4 linked regions of the Oryctolagus cuniculus genome follow. The protein of the gene in region 1 interacts with the protein of each later gene in a pairwise test. Links are inferred from orthologs where the notes say so. Each region holds a gene or a part of one and is shown on either strand. Other genes may lie near its edges. The genes, in order: VASP, ZYX, TRIM9 and ABI2.

Region 1 (3,858 bases):
GGACCCCAGGGAGAACCGCTCTGAACCCCTCTGCTCTCAGCCCAGCCCCGTTACCTGCCCCAGACCCCGAGCTGACCCCGCCCTTCCTCCTCACTCTTCCAGCTCCCCCACCTGTCAGTCACATCCCACCTCCCACCCAGTCTGCTCCTCGGAGCTCTCAGAGGTCGCCCTTCCTGCCAAGGCCCCTCCAGGGAGCCCGCCCACCCGTCACCCGGACGGGCAGTCCTGCCTCCCCACTGGGGCGCGCGTGAGCTCTGGGACCTCTGAACTGCCTTGCCAGACTCTGTGTCCGTCATTGAAGCAGCTCCGGGGGAAACAGGTCATCTTGGGAACATGTCTGAGACGGTGGCGTCCACCTGCAGAGTGGGTCGGGTGTTGGGGAACTCTGGGGGAGCGGGGACAGGGTTGACCCCGGAGCGTTTGCCCAGTGGGGAAACCGCAGCCCTGCATGGACCCAGGGACCTGCCCTGGCTGTCTCCGGCATGAAGGGGACGGGGCAGGGGAGCGGCCTGGCCAGGGACCACGAGGGGTTCCAGCAGAGAACCCAGCGTCCGTCCATCCGTGCGTGAGGGAGAGGCATGGAGGACGGAGCCGGCCTCCGGCCCCTCACAGCAGCCCTGCCAATCACCCAGAGAGTTTAGCATTTGTAAAAACCGGCAGATTTATTCCACGGGGGCCCATTTTATGAGGCTGAGGGGGAGGTGGGGGCAGAGGCCGCCTCCCCCCTGTTTCGCCCTCATCTTCCCAAGGTGGGTGAAAATGGCCAGGGCCCCACCTACCCAAATACAAAACCAAAAAACTGAGGTTCCAAAAAGTTACAGCATCTTAATTCCTCATAGAAAAGGGGAAGGAGCCAGAGGGAGGGAAGTCCCCGGGGTGGGGGCGGCACCCCAGCCCGACAGGACGTCCCCCGGCAGCTGCCCCAACCAGGGCACGCCGAGGGCCACAGCATTAAAAACCCCCACACCCCATGTTATCAAAACCAAAGAGGCAAAAAAAAGTACCCTTCCCCCCCAAAACCCAAATATATATATATATTTATATACTTCTTAAAAAACAAAACTTCGAAGGCATTAAGCGTTAAAGTGAATCTAAACAAGGGAATGTGAATTCCCTCTTCCCTTCCCCCTTACTGTGGGGTTAATGGTACATCCCCAGCAGAGGAACCAGCCCCAAGGGGATGGCAGAGGGGAAGGACCAAAGGGAGCAAAGGGTGGGGGCCTCCCCAGCCAATCAGCAGCCAGTACGGGTGTGGGCACGGTGCAGGGAAGCCACACCCCCTTGGAATCTTCCAAGTGGGAGGGGGCAGGGGGAGATGCATTCCCGTGTAGTCTTCAGCCAATTCCACGTGGAGTCGAGGCAGGGAAGCAGGGTAACAGGCGGGGTGTGCGGAAAGAAGTGGGCCCCTGCGGTCAGGGGGAGCCCCGCTTCCTCAGCTCCTGGACAAAGGCTGGAAGGAAAGAGGGGGCAAAGCTCAGGGCAGGGGCTCTTTCCCCTTCCGTTCCAATCTTCCCAAAAGACAGGCGGCCTCCAAACCACACAGGCGCCTCACGGGGCGGGGCGCGGGCAGGCGCCTCACCTTCGATGATCTCCTCTTTCACCTTCCGCAGCTCCTTCCTCACCTCCTCCAGCAGCTCCTGGAACCACAGGGTTCACCAGTGGGCGGGGCCCGGAGCGGCAGGAAGCCCCCTGTCTCCCACTCGCTGAGAGTCGGAGGAAGCGGGCTGGAGACCGCCCGGCCCCGCCCTCCCTGCCAAGGTCACAGAGAGAACTGGAGGGCATCCAGGACACAGGCTGGCAAACGCCTCCCAGCCTCCTGCCAGCTCCGGCGGGGTCTCAGGTGCTCATCGGAAAGGAGTGTGGTGATGGATTATAAGGCCTGTCACAGCCGTTGAAAGGGGTGCGGCACCTGCGTCATCCCTGACCCCGCCGATGGCTCCCCCTTCTCAGACCGGACACCCAGGGTCTGGACCCAGCGCCCCTCCTGCCGTGGGCCCTGGCTAGGCCCCCACCTGCACCTTCCACCCCTACCTGTTTCACCCGCTCCAGGTCCGAGTCGTCACCGGAGCTGTGGTGGGAGGGGTGGGCCTCGGGGGTGGCCACCGAAGACGAGGACTTCATCCTGGGGGGGACAGAAGCGAAGTCAGAGGCCCTGCCACCCGCGGAGGCGCCGCGCCCGCCGCGCCCCCCGCGCCCGCTGCGCCCGCCGCGCCCGCCGGCCCACCTGGGCAAGGTCGTGCTGTTCTTCTCCCAGGGCCTCCGCACAGATTCTGGGGAGCAGGCAACAAACCGCAAGGTCAGGGCAAAGGATTCCTCCCCCAGCCAGCAGCCCCTCTGCAGAGAAACCCCCAGGAGAGGCCCGCCCCTCCCCCGGGCCGCCCGGCACTCACCGCTGTGGACCGGGACGCGGGCCTCTGGCTCCTCCTGCTGGCAGGAAATGAAACCGTCATGAGCAGCCCCGCCACGCTGCCCCGGGACCCCACCGAGCCCCTCACTCACACTGGCAGATTCGTCCTTGGGGGGCTTCTCGCCAACCTGCGAGGCTTTCCTCCTGCGGGAGGGAGGGACGAGAAGAGAAGCCTCAGCCCCCCCACTCGCAGCTGCGGGCCCAGGGTTCTAGAAAGTGGCCCTTGTGTGTGGGGGGGGGGGGGGCTGCACGGCCAAGGCTAAGGAAGCTGGGATGGGGGGGGGTCTTCCTGTGGCCCTCACATCTGGAACCCTAACGTCCTAAGGGGGGAAGGGACTCTGGGAACTAAAATCCTAGGAGTCAGTTTCTAGAACATTCCGCAGGCGCCACAGGTAGGGCTTTCAGCACAAGCAGCAAACAGGAACCAGAGCCCGCCCCCCGCCCCCGCCCCCCCGCCAGCCTGCAGGGCTGGGGTCCCAGGCAGGGGGGTGGGCCCAGGCTCACCTCCGGGCCAACATGGCGTTCATCTCCTCCATGAGCCCCCCGCCTGTGCTCCGGCCACTCTCAGCTTTGGGGCCCGGGGGCCCCCCTGAGACTTCCTCTTGCTGAGGACGGTAAAAGGGAGCAGAGGGCTTGCGGGTGGGCCTCCCGTGACAGGCAGCCCCCAGCCCATTGTTACCTCAGGGCCAGCCCCCCCCCCCCCCCCCGCGGGCCCCTCACCTTGCTGACTTTCCTGAGTTTGGCTCCAGCAATGGCTGCGGCCAGGCCGGGGGCTCCAGTCCCCCCACCACTGGGGCCCTGGGCTGTGGGGAGAGGGGGTGCAGGGGGTGGGCCCCCCCCTGCCGGGGGCAGCCCTGGGGGTGGGGGGGGACCCGGCGGAGGGGGCGGTCCTGGAGGCGGGGGTGGGCCCCCGGCTGGGGGAGCAGGCGGGCCTCCTGAAACAAGGCAGAGCAGGGGTGGCTCAGAGAGGAGCCAGCCCCTCCTCCAGGGGGGGCTCTGGGCTCGGCCCGCCCCCCACCCCCGCAAGCCCAGTTACCTGCGTTGCACACGCGGCGCTCCATCTGCTCCGGCTGCTGCCTGTGGGGGGGACTGCGGTCACCACCGCCCCGGCCCCTCCGCAGGGCCCAAGGGGTGGCGCGGGAATGTTCTAGACTGTCACCGACACCCGGGGTCCTCTCAGGACGAGGGTTTGGGGACTGGGGGTCCTGCGTCTCTGAGCGCCAGGGATTTTCTTAAAGTCTCAGAGGTGGGGGCTCCCAAAAGCGGGCAACTCCTAGTCCCTGGGGAGTTGGAACATTCTGGAAACTGGACGTCGGAGGATGCTGGGACATCTAGAATCTGGCAGTAAGGGCCCCCAGCCAAGGGGCCAGCCCTACCTTTTGTGCTGCTCCACCTCTTCCGGGGAGGGGCCGTTCTGGCTGGCCCACGCGGCAGGTGCTGGGGGCGGCGGA
Region 2 (4,452 bases), on another chromosome or scaffold:
CATGCCGTTCCCATCAAATGCCATTCCCTTTCCTCTCGGATTCTTAAGTCCTGCCGGCCCTTCAAGACACACCAGCCCAGGAAGGCTTTCCTAACTTGCCAGCCCCAGGCTGGCTCCCTGTTCTGAGTTCCTGTAACTTGTGCAATTCCGCAAATCTCACTGGCACCTGGCATTTCTTCCTGTACAGTACCTGAGTATCCTCAGACATGGATGCTATCAGATGACTCTCTGGATGCTTGGATTAGAGGTCCCTCAGGGTCGCTTTAACTCACAAGATCTCATCCGAACTGCAGGGCACGCTTTGCCTCGTGCTTTTCCATTTAGGGCATTTATGTAATACCGAACCCAGCACTTCGCAAGCATTCATCCAATTACTCTTCACAACCACTATATGGGGTAGTGTTAATTTTTAAAGGGGAAACTGGGGCTTGGAGTTCACCTAACTTGCCCAAACAGCAGATGAGATGTGGAGCTGGGGATTCTATCCCAGCCCCATCTGACACCCGGAGGCCAAACCTCTCTGGGAGATCACTTCGCTCCCTTGTCCCAGACTCCAGAGCACAGAACACAGTGCCTGGCATCCAGCTGATGTTGGCTCAGTCTTTGTTTACTGGGGCTGTGGCTCTTATCTCCAGATGGGCCCTCGGGCAGTGAAAGGACCAGAGGAGCTGCGAGATTAACTTAAGGCCCAGGAATGGGGAAAAACCAACATTGGACCGGTGATGTCATCCTCCCCTTTAACCTCCCAGGGCAGAAGCGCAAGAGAATGTGCACCAAATCCTCTAATTCCAAATCTGGAGCCACGCCCCAGCCAGCCCCTGCAGAAACTCTCTCCCTTCCCATTGTCTGACCGATGGACCCACCACACTGATGCCCACCCCATCTCTCCCAAGCCACCTCCACTGTGATTCCCTCCCCCAGCACCCTGGTCTCGGCCCTGACCTATCTCGCCCCCTCACCTGGTTTTGCTTCTGAGCAGGTGGGGGCACTGGGTGCTGCTTCTCCTGCACGCGGGGCTTCTCTTTCTGCTGAGCATAGGTGAAGCTGGGGGGTTGAGGGGAACCCGTGCCAGTGGAAGAAGCAGCTTCCGGAGGTCCCAGCTTTTGACTGGGCTGTGACCCAGGGCCACCGGGGGCTCCAGGGCTGAACTTGGAAGCCACGGGAGTAAACTTGGGAGCCACTGGAGAAAACTTAGGGGCTGGTGCTGGAGGTGGAGCTGGAGGACCTCGGGACTGCGCGTTAGCGGAAGACACAGGCTGGGAATGAGCCTGGGGCTGAGGCTGCACATGCAGCTGGACCTGAGGCTTGGTCTGGGGCTGGGCCTGGGGCTGAGCCTGGGGCTGGACATGGAACAGCGCTTGGCTCTGAGGCTGGGACACGGGCTGGGAGCTGGGAGGTGCCTTCCAGGGGGGCAAGGGTGCTGTGCCCCCGGTCGCAGGCTTAGTACTGGACTTGGGAATGAATGGAGTGGCAACTGGAGGGGGCACATATCCAGATGACACCTGCAAGAGAGGCAGAGGGAGAGAAGCAAGTTAGAGGCAGGGGCTGCCCTCCACGCTTCCTTCTCCAGTCTCTCCTCCCTGGCACTCAGGGTGCCTACTCCCCAGGCCCTTACCCGGGCTTTGAAGGGATCATTCTTGGTCATGTCATCCAGCAGTGAGGACAGAGAGTCGATCTCCAGGTCGATGCTGCTCACCTTCTCCCTGGGCTACAGGATCAGGGGTCAGAGCATCCATCCCCGTCTCCCATTCCCACGCCACCCCTCCCGCAACAGGGCAGAGGTACAGGGGCAGGTCACAGCAGGCCCCCTTCTCTCCTTTCCTTGAGGCGTCCCAGTGCACTGACCCCTCCCCAGGCCTCCATACCTGCGGCGGGGGCGGCATGGGGGCCTCGGGCGTGCCCTCATCCTCCAGCGGGGGCGGTGGAGAAGGAAAGATGTCCTCCTCGGAAGGTGCAGGGGGGAACGGTTCCTCGATCGGGGGAGGCGGCGGGGGGAAGGCACCTCCCAGCGCACCCTCCGCGTCGTCGCCATCCCCAGGTGGGGGAGGCGGGGGTAAGGGAAAGTCTAGGGCGGGGAGAGAAGCGGCCATCGGCAGCGGCCCCGCCACCGCTGCCCCAAGCTGCCCTCCGTCCACAGCTCTGACTCTAACCCTAACCCAAGAACTGCCTCGGGGGTCCTGGAGTGTGCGGGAAGGGAAAGGAGGGGTGCAGGGCGCCCAGGGGGGCACAGGTCAGGAAAGGCCGGAGGTGGGGGGGCACGGCCGAGGAGTGGTGCGGCTCCCGTTACACTTGGGAAAACGGACCCACAGGGGAAGATTCGTGGCCCACATTCCCGCCTCCCACCCCCAGGCGGGGACTTGGAACGATCCCAGGAGCCCTGGCTCCCAGCCATGAGCTCCACGATGAGGTAAGAACATCTGCTCGGGACAGGGTGGCTGCACCCAGCCCCCTCCGCAGCTACCTTTGCAGGCGTCCCCCCGCCCCTTGCTCAATCCCACTGCCCCCACCCCGCCGCCCGCGGGGGTCCAGCCCCTCAGCCCTGCCGCATACCTTCCGGGGGCGGCGGGGGGATCTCGCCCACCCGGCCCATCTGTGCGCGCTGGGCCCCGGCTGCCGCTGGAGGCTCGCCGTCCCCGGGCCGGAAAGGATTTACTTTGGGCTTCGGTGCCACCACCGGGCCGAACTTCTTCTGCGGGGCGTAAAACGCCGGAGCCGAGACCGAGACGGAGATCGCGGGAGGCGGGCGGGGGGCCGCCATGGCCTGGCCGGGCTGCTGGGGGTGGGTCTCCAGGTTACGCGGCGCCGAACTGCGCTGGGCTGGGCAGGAGACTCCCCCGGAGGCCCGAGCGCCTCCCGACGACCCCCACCCGCCGCCTCCCGGAGCCCCGCGCCCCGCGCCTCACCGCGGACCGGAGCGTGCGCGCCGCGTCTCCAGTGGCCGCCTCGGCGCCGGGTCTGCGGACTGTGCGTCCCGGTCCCGAGCAGCCTCCAGCCAGGCGGGGGAGGGACGCAGGGAAGAGGAGGGAGGGCGGCAGGGGGCGGGGAGAGAGCGGCGCCGCGACCATACAAGGAGCGGCCCGGAGAGGGGGCGGGGAGAGACAGGGCGGGCGCGGCAGGAAACTCCCCCAGGAAGGGGCCCAGATCCTGCCCTGGGCCGAGGGCTCCGCTAAGGTCCGCCCGCCCCCGCCGCACTCCCAGCCGTGCTCGCAGCCCTGGCCGGTCGCAGACCACCCCTCCCTGAGCACAGGCCTCTGATGTCATTTCCTGACCTGCCCCCCCACCCCCAACTCCGCGCCCGTCAGCGGGTGCCGGAGATCTGACTCACTGGCCCCACTCCGGGCTGAGCCGGCGGAGGTCGAAAGGGTCCCCCGAGGCAACGGAGCGAGCAGCCCCCTTGCGCCTCCGCCCTGGCCCAGCCGCCTCCTCTGGGGCCTGCAGTTACCTGCGGCCCTGCCACCCTCACGGCTGCACCTCCCACGCCGTCGGCAGCACCGCGCCCCGAGAACCCACCGGCCAGCGCTGGCTGCAGGACCAGGACCAGGGCCGTTCTCGTCCCGCGCCCTCCTGGCAGGCCCTTCGGCGATCGGTGGCTGTGTGAGCCTGAACCTCTTGCGACCTAGGGGTATCGTAACTTCCAACCCTAGGCAGCCTCTGCAGGCTTCTAGGAATTCGCAACACTGGCGCCCCCGGCTGCGGATCAGTTGCGCCAGAGATATTCTGGACCAGCGGGCCCGAGGGAGGTAGGTAGGGGGCTGCTCAGCCCTGGCCAGGGCAGCCGGAGGATCTAGTAGGACCCGGGGAGACGTGGACGCGAGCAACAAGCCTGCCACAGCTGAGCCTCCGCCGCGACCCACGCCTTCGGGAGCCTCCCGAGCGACACAGCTCGGTAGAGCCCCCACTCATCCGACCGGGTTGCTCAGCCCCAGGCTACGCCAAGGAGACCAAACCTGAGTGCCACTTTTTATTTTTTAATTGCGCACGGAAACTTACCCAGTGGCTGAACTCCACGCTTGCAAAGCTATGGAGTCTAGGCCTTTGCCCTCTAGTCCAGTATCCACCCACTCTCCACTCTCTCATTCCATCAGCCCTGAGTGACATCTGAAACAGACCTCTTGTTGACTCAGTGTCTCCGCCCTGGCCCTCCAAACCGACTGAACCCCACTGCCAAGGAGCATCTGGGAGATGCTTTTGAGAGCATCCAGACTCGCCCCTTACTTCACGCTGGGGAAGTGGAGGCTGCCCGCTGAGGGGGTGGGCCCGGTCACACCCACGAAGCAGCCGGCTTCCTCCAGCACCTGCCGTCAGGTGGAGCAATGCTAGGGCCAGCCTGACGCCCAGGCCAGCCGGCCTCTTCCCACTTCCCCTTCTCCACTTGTGAAAGAGCCATGGTGTTTCACCCACCCCGCTTACTGCATTCTACAGAAGTAAATGAAATGCCATGTCTGCAAGTGC
Region 3 (3,858 bases), on another chromosome or scaffold:
AACTGAGGATGTTCTTTCTCCTCCTGTCTCTCAAATTAAAACAAACAAATAAAAAAACTAAAATTTAAAATTTTCAACTATTGAGTGTCCATGGCCATCAACACACACCTCTCATAGTTTGGGCTACTTTGGGCCTAGTTCTTCTATGAGGTGCTGTGACTCTTTAGCTGTAAGTAATATATTGTCCTCCTTACAACCTGTGAGAGGTGGCATTGGTTACCTCTTTCCTAGAAGCTTGCCTGCCTTCTACCTCTGTGGGCATCATTTGTGGGCAATGATAACAGGTGTGTGTGAGTTATGGCTGACGGATGGAAATGCCTTCTCTCCGAGGGTACTTCTACCAGTCAAAGGCAATAGTGTGCTGTGCCTTGGACTCTGGGCTCCAAAGCTAGGCTATCATGGCTCAAATTTTGGTTCCTTGGACCAGTTCTGAGTGCCATGGTGCTGTAGCTTCCTCACTTCCAGTACAGAAATAATAGTGATAATGACACCATAGAACTGTTGTAGGCAGTAACAGAGAAGATCCCCACAACACGATCTGTATGACATTCCTTCATAGAAAGTGTTCTCAAAGTGTAGCTATTGCCATTATTTTAGAAAAAGATTTATTTATTTATTTGAAAGGCAGAATCACAGAGAGAGAGGAAGAGAAAGAGAGAGAAAGAGATCTTCCATCCATTGGTTCTGCTAGTTCACTCCCCAAATGGTTGCAACAAAGAGGGCTGGCCCAGGCCGAAGCCAGGAGCCAGGAGCCAGGAGCCAGAAGCCAGGAGCCGGGAGCCGGGAGCCGGGAGCCATAGATGCAGAGGCCACCCTCTTGGGCACATTAGCAGGGAGCTGGGTCGAAAGCAGAGCAGCCTGGACTCAAAGTGGAGCTCACATGGAATGCCAGCAGTGCAAGCGGCGGCTTTACCTGCTATGCCACAGTGCCGGCCCTGTCATTATGAAAGCCAGGACTGGGTCACCAAGGATGCTCATTCAGTATTGCAGATTGGGTGACTAGAGAACCATATTTCTGATTTTAATCCAGATAAGAAACAGTGATTCTAGAAAAAAATTTTTTTCACCCAGACCTAACTTAACTTGGATGAAAACGCTTATGGAACAGAACCCTTTTCCAGATGGTTGCAAAGTAAATCTGTAAGATGGATATCCACACGGCAAAACTTTCAGAACTCTTTGGGTAAAAAAGTATCCGTAAGACTGCCCCCACGTCTTCCCCCACATTTCAGGAGTTACCACATATGCTGCCATGAATCATAGCTCAGTATCTCTTTGGGGAATTCAAAAACAAATAACCTGATCACAGCTTTAGGAGACAGGGGCCTGGAAAACGATGAACTAAAAGAAAGCCACGTAGGTAAAAGTCCCCATCACTGGGCACTTTATGGACTATGCATGACACAAGCTACAGAGGGAGCCACCCTCGGAGAGTCCCAGGCCTTATTATTAGCTTTAGCTCCAGCTCGAAGGTTCCATAAGGCTGGGCTCGAGTTCATTCTAAGATCCAGCTGGGAGGGTCTGTTGGTCAGGCCCTCCATCGGGAAACATCAACAGCCACCCTGGAAGGAGCCGTTAGCACTGCCAGCCTTTGTTTCCTGCCAGACCAACAGGTTACGGTCCCTTGAACATTGCAGCCCTGGGGTGCTTTTCTTTCCTTCCTCATGGTTAGAGTCCAGCTTCAAGACACGCAGTTGTCTGTATTAAACAATCTGCTGCACCTCTCCTTGATAAAATCGTGCTGTTGCTGTCAGGAACACACTGGGACACAGCCCCGACCCCGGCTGGAGGTTCAGGCCCGCCCGGTCCCCTTCTGCCTGCCTCATTTCCACCGTCCCCTCTTCTCCATGGTAATTCACAAAGGCGGGGAAGAAAGGTTTATGTCCCTACCACACGCTTGCCCTGGCGCTGGGACAGGAGGGAGCAGATGTGTGGGTCTGAATGTGTTTTGAAGAGCTGCAGGTGGGGAGCAGAGGAGGGATACGCAGAGGGGGAAGCTACAGCTGGGGTTCTGTTTATCTTGGGAGTGAGCTCTGAAGCTTCTCTGGGCAAACGCTTCTCTCACGCTGCCTGGATGCTGTCTTCACAGCAGAGCTAAGTGAGACTCAGGGGCCTACGACGAAGGGGTGCTCTGCTGCTCGGAGCTCGGCATTGCCAGTTTGCCTACCACAGGTCTTGCCTGTAGGCACTATGTAGGTACTAAGCCAACTCAAAGGATGTCAGCCACCAAGCTTTACCCCCTGACATTTGTAAGCTGTGTTCCTTTGTTTCTTCATTCTTGAAACTCCTCCTTGGTTCACCTACAGGAACCTCACTCTTTAGACATGGGGCCTTCTCTTGATCTCTAGGGACTAGCGCCTACTGCTAACCTGACACTGTGCTGTCACTTGTCATCAGCTCTCTGGAGGCTGTCCCTACTCACTGTCGCCTACTACTGAAGCAGCTGGATGCTGACTGCCTGACCTCAACACACAGCCCCAGGCCAACACTGCACACTCCCCTCTCCCCACCGTCCGCCCACTGTGAGTCACCCTGAGGCTTGTGCGGGCAGGCCTCAGCTGACTGCCCACTGCTGGACTCCCTTCTGCCTGGCTCTTCCCATTTGCCTACCCACATCTTCTCACATCTTCTTGCCCTGCTCTCACAGGGTAACAAATGGGACATCACGTGTCTCCAGGGAAACCAGTCCTGCCAATCGGGCCCCAGACTGGTATTCAGTCAATTCCACTGTGTGGTGACAAAAGTCTATCCAGCTGTCCAATATTAAGGTTCCCTTCAGAAGCTAAGACAAAGCTTGTTTGTTTAGATTCTAAAGATTCCATTTCCTTACTCACAAACACATTTCTGACTCTTTGTGGCCACCCCATCTAAAATTTCAACCCCCACCTCAAGGCTCATCATCCCCCTTTCCTGTCTTCTTTTGCTTATTTAGCAACGTTTGCTAACACTGCACGTCTGGCTTAATTCTCGTGCTTACTGTGTCTCTCTCCTGACAGAATAGAAGCCCCACAAAGGCAGCGATTTTGATTTGTTTATTTTTCCTGCACCCAGAGCAGTTTTACTCAACTGACATTGGCTAGGTAAACATGTAGACATGAAGTAGTGAACGGAGGGCTGTGCCTTCTCCCATCTGGCCAGGCCACCGGCCACCCAAGGCTGCGGGCATCCAGCCCTTTCTTCCGTCGTGACCGCTGGCTCCTCGGTCCCTGCTGTCTGCAGGGCGGGCCCAGTGCTCACCTTCAGCTTGTGTTCGTGCTCCTTGTTGACGCGGGCCAGCAGCTGCGCCTTCCTTCTGTTGAGGGCATCGATGAGGGCGTCACACTGGGCCACCAGGCAGGCCTCGAACTCCACACTGTTCTCCTGCGTGAGAGAGGGCATTTCTCAGCTGCAGGGCACGGGGCCCCCCGGCTACCAGGGGAGCAGGAGCCTCCCTGTCCATGCATGGCACAGAGACCCCTGCTGAGGGGAATGAACAAGAACTCTGTGTGTTCATAAAACACAACTGGGCGAGCTTCGCTCTAGAGTGGCAGAGTTTTTGTTTGAAATTTAGATGGAAAATGACAAATATTTATCATCTAAGTCTTTTTTTTTTAATCAAAAGGAAGCCATCTACACGGTCTGGAAGATGTTAAGCTCAATGAAGCCTTGGTTTGTGGCGCTAGACAGGCTCCGCCACACCTAGTGGCACGTGGCAGTCAGCAAGCACCGGGAAGGAAGGGGCATGGCAGTTCCGAACAACCAGAGTTTGTGCCAGTACGGTGAGCATGCTCTGAAAACCATTCACGGACCCACAGCTTGCGGGAGGAAAGGTGCCTATACTAACTCAGCGCTAGCATCCCCAGAATGTCTAAATTAAAT
Region 4 (3,858 bases), on another chromosome or scaffold:
AGGCACATTATCCAGACCTCCATTCCAAAACAAAATTTCTCTAGTTACAAAAATCCAGCTATTTTATTCCAATACAACATTTTACGATAGGATAGATTACATTTCTGCTTCACAAAATGTAACACCATTGCAAAATGACCATTCACTCAACAAATATTTACAAAGTATTTAATGCATGTCAGACACTGTTTTAGGCACAAAGGATAGAGTAGTGAACAAAACAGACAAAAACATCTGCCTTCAAGGTACATGAAGACACATCGCAAACTTGGAAGACAAAAAAAGTACAGTAAAGAAGAGGAATTACTTGTTGGTTTTAGGCCAAGTGCCAAATATCTCATGACTCCCCATATGTAATATTCCACATAAGAACAAAGAATGGAAATCCAGCCCTGGAATCTCTTACCTTAAATCTAAGCAACCACTTAATGCATAAATGGAGCAAATAAAAGAGGTAAGGAAAAAAAGCATTGAAAGGTTAGTTGGAACTTCAGGATGTGAAGAGAAAGGAAAAAAAACGAAAAAACAAGTTAAGCATTCAGCATTAACAAAATAATGTTTCAGTAGATCATAGAAAGAGTGGTTAAAGCAGAATGTGTCATGAACAGGAGTTTCCTGGATGAAATTATTTAAGATACTCTTTTATTCAAAAGCTTAGTTTTACTAAAGACTTCTTCACATTAGTGACTCCAAACAATGAAAGGACTACGGAGTCCTAAAAGAGTAACATTGACTGTGAGGATCAAACAAAGAGGGAGGAGAATCATCTTCTTACTGTAGAAGCAGGCAAGCACAACTGTGATGTCTGTACCACAAAACTGTCTCTTGGCATTAGATTCTGGCAGTACCCTAACACTCTATTAGCAGTTGTTAGCCTTGAATAAATTTTCCCAAGTTAGAATAAATCCCAGCCATTAATTAACCATCCAATTAAACATCCTTTTTCAACATGCTCTAGTTAGGATAATAATCTGAATGCATTTAGGTATCAATTATAAAATTAAATACAAAATTCCAGATAATAATGGCTATATCTAAACTCTGAGGGAGAAAAAGATTTTAAAAATGAATTTATATTATATGTTTTTTCAGTCAGATATAAATTAAATTTAGATTTATTTTATTTCCAGCCATTATGGTGTAGGTGTTTTATTTAACTACACTTATATTAGAAAAAAACAACTGTTTGAACTGTAAAGTTTCATGACAGGCATTTACATGTATTTATTCAAAGTCACATTTGATAAGTCACTGTCCTTCAAATCAGCAGATGTAAACTTCGAACAACCTAATATTTATCCGAAGATCTGAATAGTTTAAATATAAATACCAATTAAAATGAAATTCGCGTTTCTCAGTACTAATTATAATACATACACCAGACACTCAAATACATCTTAAAACACAGCCAAAATGTATAATGTCCACATACTCAAAAGTGCTGGGTAGCTATACTACTCTCATACAAAATACTGATAAAATAATTTTATAAAAATTCAAAGTACATATTTATTAATATATCTTTTTTCTGAAAACTAATGCCAAGTCTGCTGATAAACTGAAATGAGATAATCACTTTATTAACAGGTTGAGTAATTTTTAATCAATCAATAATCATTAGAAGATTATACCACATAAACTCAATATATATTTGGCAATATAATGAAGCAGATGCAATTCAAAGGTGACTGTTTAAAACTTGAGAGTACAGCACTAAGAAAAAAAAAAGGAAAGATAAAAGAGTTATAACAGCAAGCAATCTTCACAACCACAACTGAGTGAAGACTTGGTTCTCTAGGAAAGGAGAGATAAAAGCTTAAAAAGAGTTAGTTCCAGTATGGGCTACTATTTTAAAAAGCTTGACAAAAATCATACCTACCTTTACTCCATGTCCAATGTCATCTAGAATTGTATAGTCAATAGGTTTTCTAATATAACGAACTGGCCGTTCAAGGTTGGCTGGAGCAATAATCTTATGTGTCCTTGAAGTGTTTTTATTGGTAGTCAAAATTCCAATTTCTCTTCTTGCAACTTTCTCTTTATGAATATCAACTGTCTGTAAAATACAAAAAAACACAACCAGAAAATGTATAGGGCTGATAACTAGAAAAACTCATAAATATCCCCAATTTAACATTGCTTGCTTCTATTCTCAACTATGCAAGTTAAATTTTCTCTTTTCTTAACTACTGACTTTATCCATTTTTTGGCTAATGCGAGGGTTGGAAAACCACAGACCACAGGCCAAATCTGACCACCAACTGATTTTTAATATCCCACAAGCTAAAAGTAGTGTTTGTGTTTTTTTAATGTTTGATGGAAAAAAAATATATCAAAAGAAAAATAATGTGGTGACGTGAAAATTACATGAAAATCCAATTTCAGGGTCAGGCATTTGGCACAGCAGCTAAGACACTGCTTGGGACACATGCATCCTAGACTGCAGTGCCTGCTTTCGAGTCCTGTCTCCCAAGTTCAGCTTTCTACTAGCAGACACTCTGGGGGCCAGATGATGGCTCAGGCGCTTCAGGCCCTGCCACCTACACAGCATATCCCAGTGGAGTCTGGGGTCACTGGCTTTGGCCTAGCACAGCCCTGGCTGTTGAGCATATTTGGAAAATGAACTAGTGGATGGAAAGTCTAACTTTGTTTCTCAAGTAAGAGAAAACAGAATAATTTTAAATGATTGTTTTAAGAAGGAATCTCAAAATTCAGTTTCCCTAAGTAAATATTGGAATAGTCACGCTGACGTAAATAACTTGCTTACTCCCCCATGGCTGGCTACAAGATCAGACAGGAGCAGTCCCAACAAAGACTTTATGAACCACAAAGCCTTAGCATTCATTAGCTTGTCCCTTTATAGGAAAAAACTGCCAACTTCCAGGTTAAAGCATGTAATCCTTCCTCTACATTAAACTGGGGGAGAAGGGAGGGTAACCATATGGCACAGCTATTTTTGGGCCCCACAACTATTTCGGAGTGCCAGTTCGAGTCCCTACTCTTCCACTTCTCAACCAACTTCCTGCTGGTGCATTTTGGCGGGCAGCAAATGGTAGTTCCAGTGCTTGGGCCCCTACCACCCAGTCCGAAGACCTGGATGAAGTTCCAGACTCATGGCTCTTGCAAGTACTTGGGGAGTGAATCAGTAAATGAAAGATTCATTCATTTTCTCTTTCTCTCTCTCTCTCTCTTTCTGCCTTTCAAGCAAATAAAAATAAATATATTTTAAAAAATTTAACAGAATATGATTATGAGGACCCCAATAACTAATCTGGTTACATTTTAAAAATAATTAGTATAAATTTCAGTTACTATTTAAATTTTTTTATGTAAGAAATGGGAGAGCTAAAAATTAAATACAGCATCAAAAATGAGTTATTAGTGACAAAATATTACTAAACAAATATTTCATTAATTTCTATTTATTAAATGCTCACATAGCACATAATTTACAATAGAATGACACTGTGTTTTTACTCACAGTCTTCAAAACACAGTGAAGTTCTCCACATATGCAGGTAATTAACACACTAAAAAACATTTTTTAAAACTGAAATTTGCAATTTAGTGGCATGTAAACATTCATTATTTCAAGTGAAATAAGACAGAAACATCACATTGAATGTACCACAGTAAGGTAAGTACATTTCCAAAAGCATGTTTGTCACAGAAGTCCTTCACAAAGTGTGAAAGATAACAGAATTAAAAAGATATGGGGCTGGTGTTGTGGCTGAAGGAGTTAAGCTGCTGCCAATGACCTTGGTTTATCCATACTGGCATCAGTTCAAGTCCCAGCTGCTCCATTTCCAATCCAGCTCCCTGCTAATGTGCCTGGGGAAGCAGCAGCGGATGGCCCGA

The links.
Region 2: the proteins of VASP (region 1) and ZYX interact in binary tests that used the Homo sapiens proteins (3 or more experiments, as listed by UniProt). The link is inferred for Oryctolagus cuniculus from reciprocal best matches to the Homo sapiens genes VASP and ZYX.
Region 3: the proteins of VASP (region 1) and TRIM9 interact in binary tests that used the Homo sapiens proteins (3 or more experiments, as listed by UniProt). The two-hybrid records come from large-scale screens. The link is inferred for Oryctolagus cuniculus from reciprocal best matches to the Homo sapiens genes VASP and TRIM9.
Region 4: the proteins of VASP (region 1) and ABI2 interact in binary tests that used the Homo sapiens proteins (3 or more experiments, as listed by UniProt). The link is inferred for Oryctolagus cuniculus from reciprocal best matches to the Homo sapiens genes VASP and ABI2.

The regions. Positions count from the first base shown.
Region 1 is NC_091449.1:11,377,212-11,381,069, forward strand, and holds the end of VASP (vasodilator-stimulated phosphoprotein), read right to left. Parts: coding exon 3,784-3,858; intron 3,485-3,783; coding exon 3,444-3,484; intron 3,343-3,443; coding exon 3,128-3,342; intron 3,013-3,127; coding exon 2,912-3,012; intron 2,552-2,911; coding exon 2,500-2,551; intron 2,428-2,499; coding exon 2,391-2,427; intron 2,271-2,390; coding exon 2,225-2,270; intron 2,123-2,224; coding exon 2,032-2,122; intron 1,638-2,031; coding exon 1,580-1,637; intron 1,451-1,579; coding exon 1,413-1,450; 3' UTR 637-1,412; downstream 1-636. UniProt on the Homo sapiens protein: Ena/VASP proteins are actin-associated proteins involved in a range of processes dependent on cytoskeleton remodeling and cell polarity such as axon guidance, lamellipodial and filopodial dynamics, platelet activation and cell migration.
Region 2 is NC_091434.1:180,377,900-180,382,351, forward strand, and holds the start of ZYX (zyxin), read right to left. Parts: upstream 3,096-4,452; 5' UTR 3,066-3,095; coding exon 2,904-3,065; intron 2,774-2,903; coding exon 2,551-2,773; intron 2,066-2,550; coding exon 1,866-2,065; intron 1,709-1,865; coding exon 1,616-1,708; intron 1,503-1,615; coding exon 960-1,502; intron 1-959. UniProt on the Homo sapiens protein: Adhesion plaque protein. Binds alpha-actinin and the CRP protein. Important for targeting TES and ENA/VASP family members to focal adhesions and for the formation of actin-rich structures.
Region 3 is NC_091443.1:25,168,451-25,172,308, reverse strand, and holds part of TRIM9 (E3 ubiquitin-protein ligase TRIM9), read right to left. Parts: intron 3,361-3,858; coding exon 3,238-3,360; intron 1-3,237. UniProt on the Homo sapiens protein: E3 ubiquitin-protein ligase which ubiquitinates itself in cooperation with an E2 enzyme UBE2D2/UBC4 and serves as a targeting signal for proteasomal degradation.
Region 4 is NC_091434.1:36,683,121-36,686,978, forward strand, and holds part of ABI2 (abl interactor 2), read right to left. Parts: intron 2,057-3,858; coding exon 1,880-2,056; intron 425-1,879; coding exon 407-424; intron 1-406. UniProt on the Homo sapiens protein: Regulator of actin cytoskeleton dynamics underlying cell motility and adhesion. Functions as a component of the WAVE complex, which activates actin nucleating machinery Arp2/3 to drive lamellipodia formation.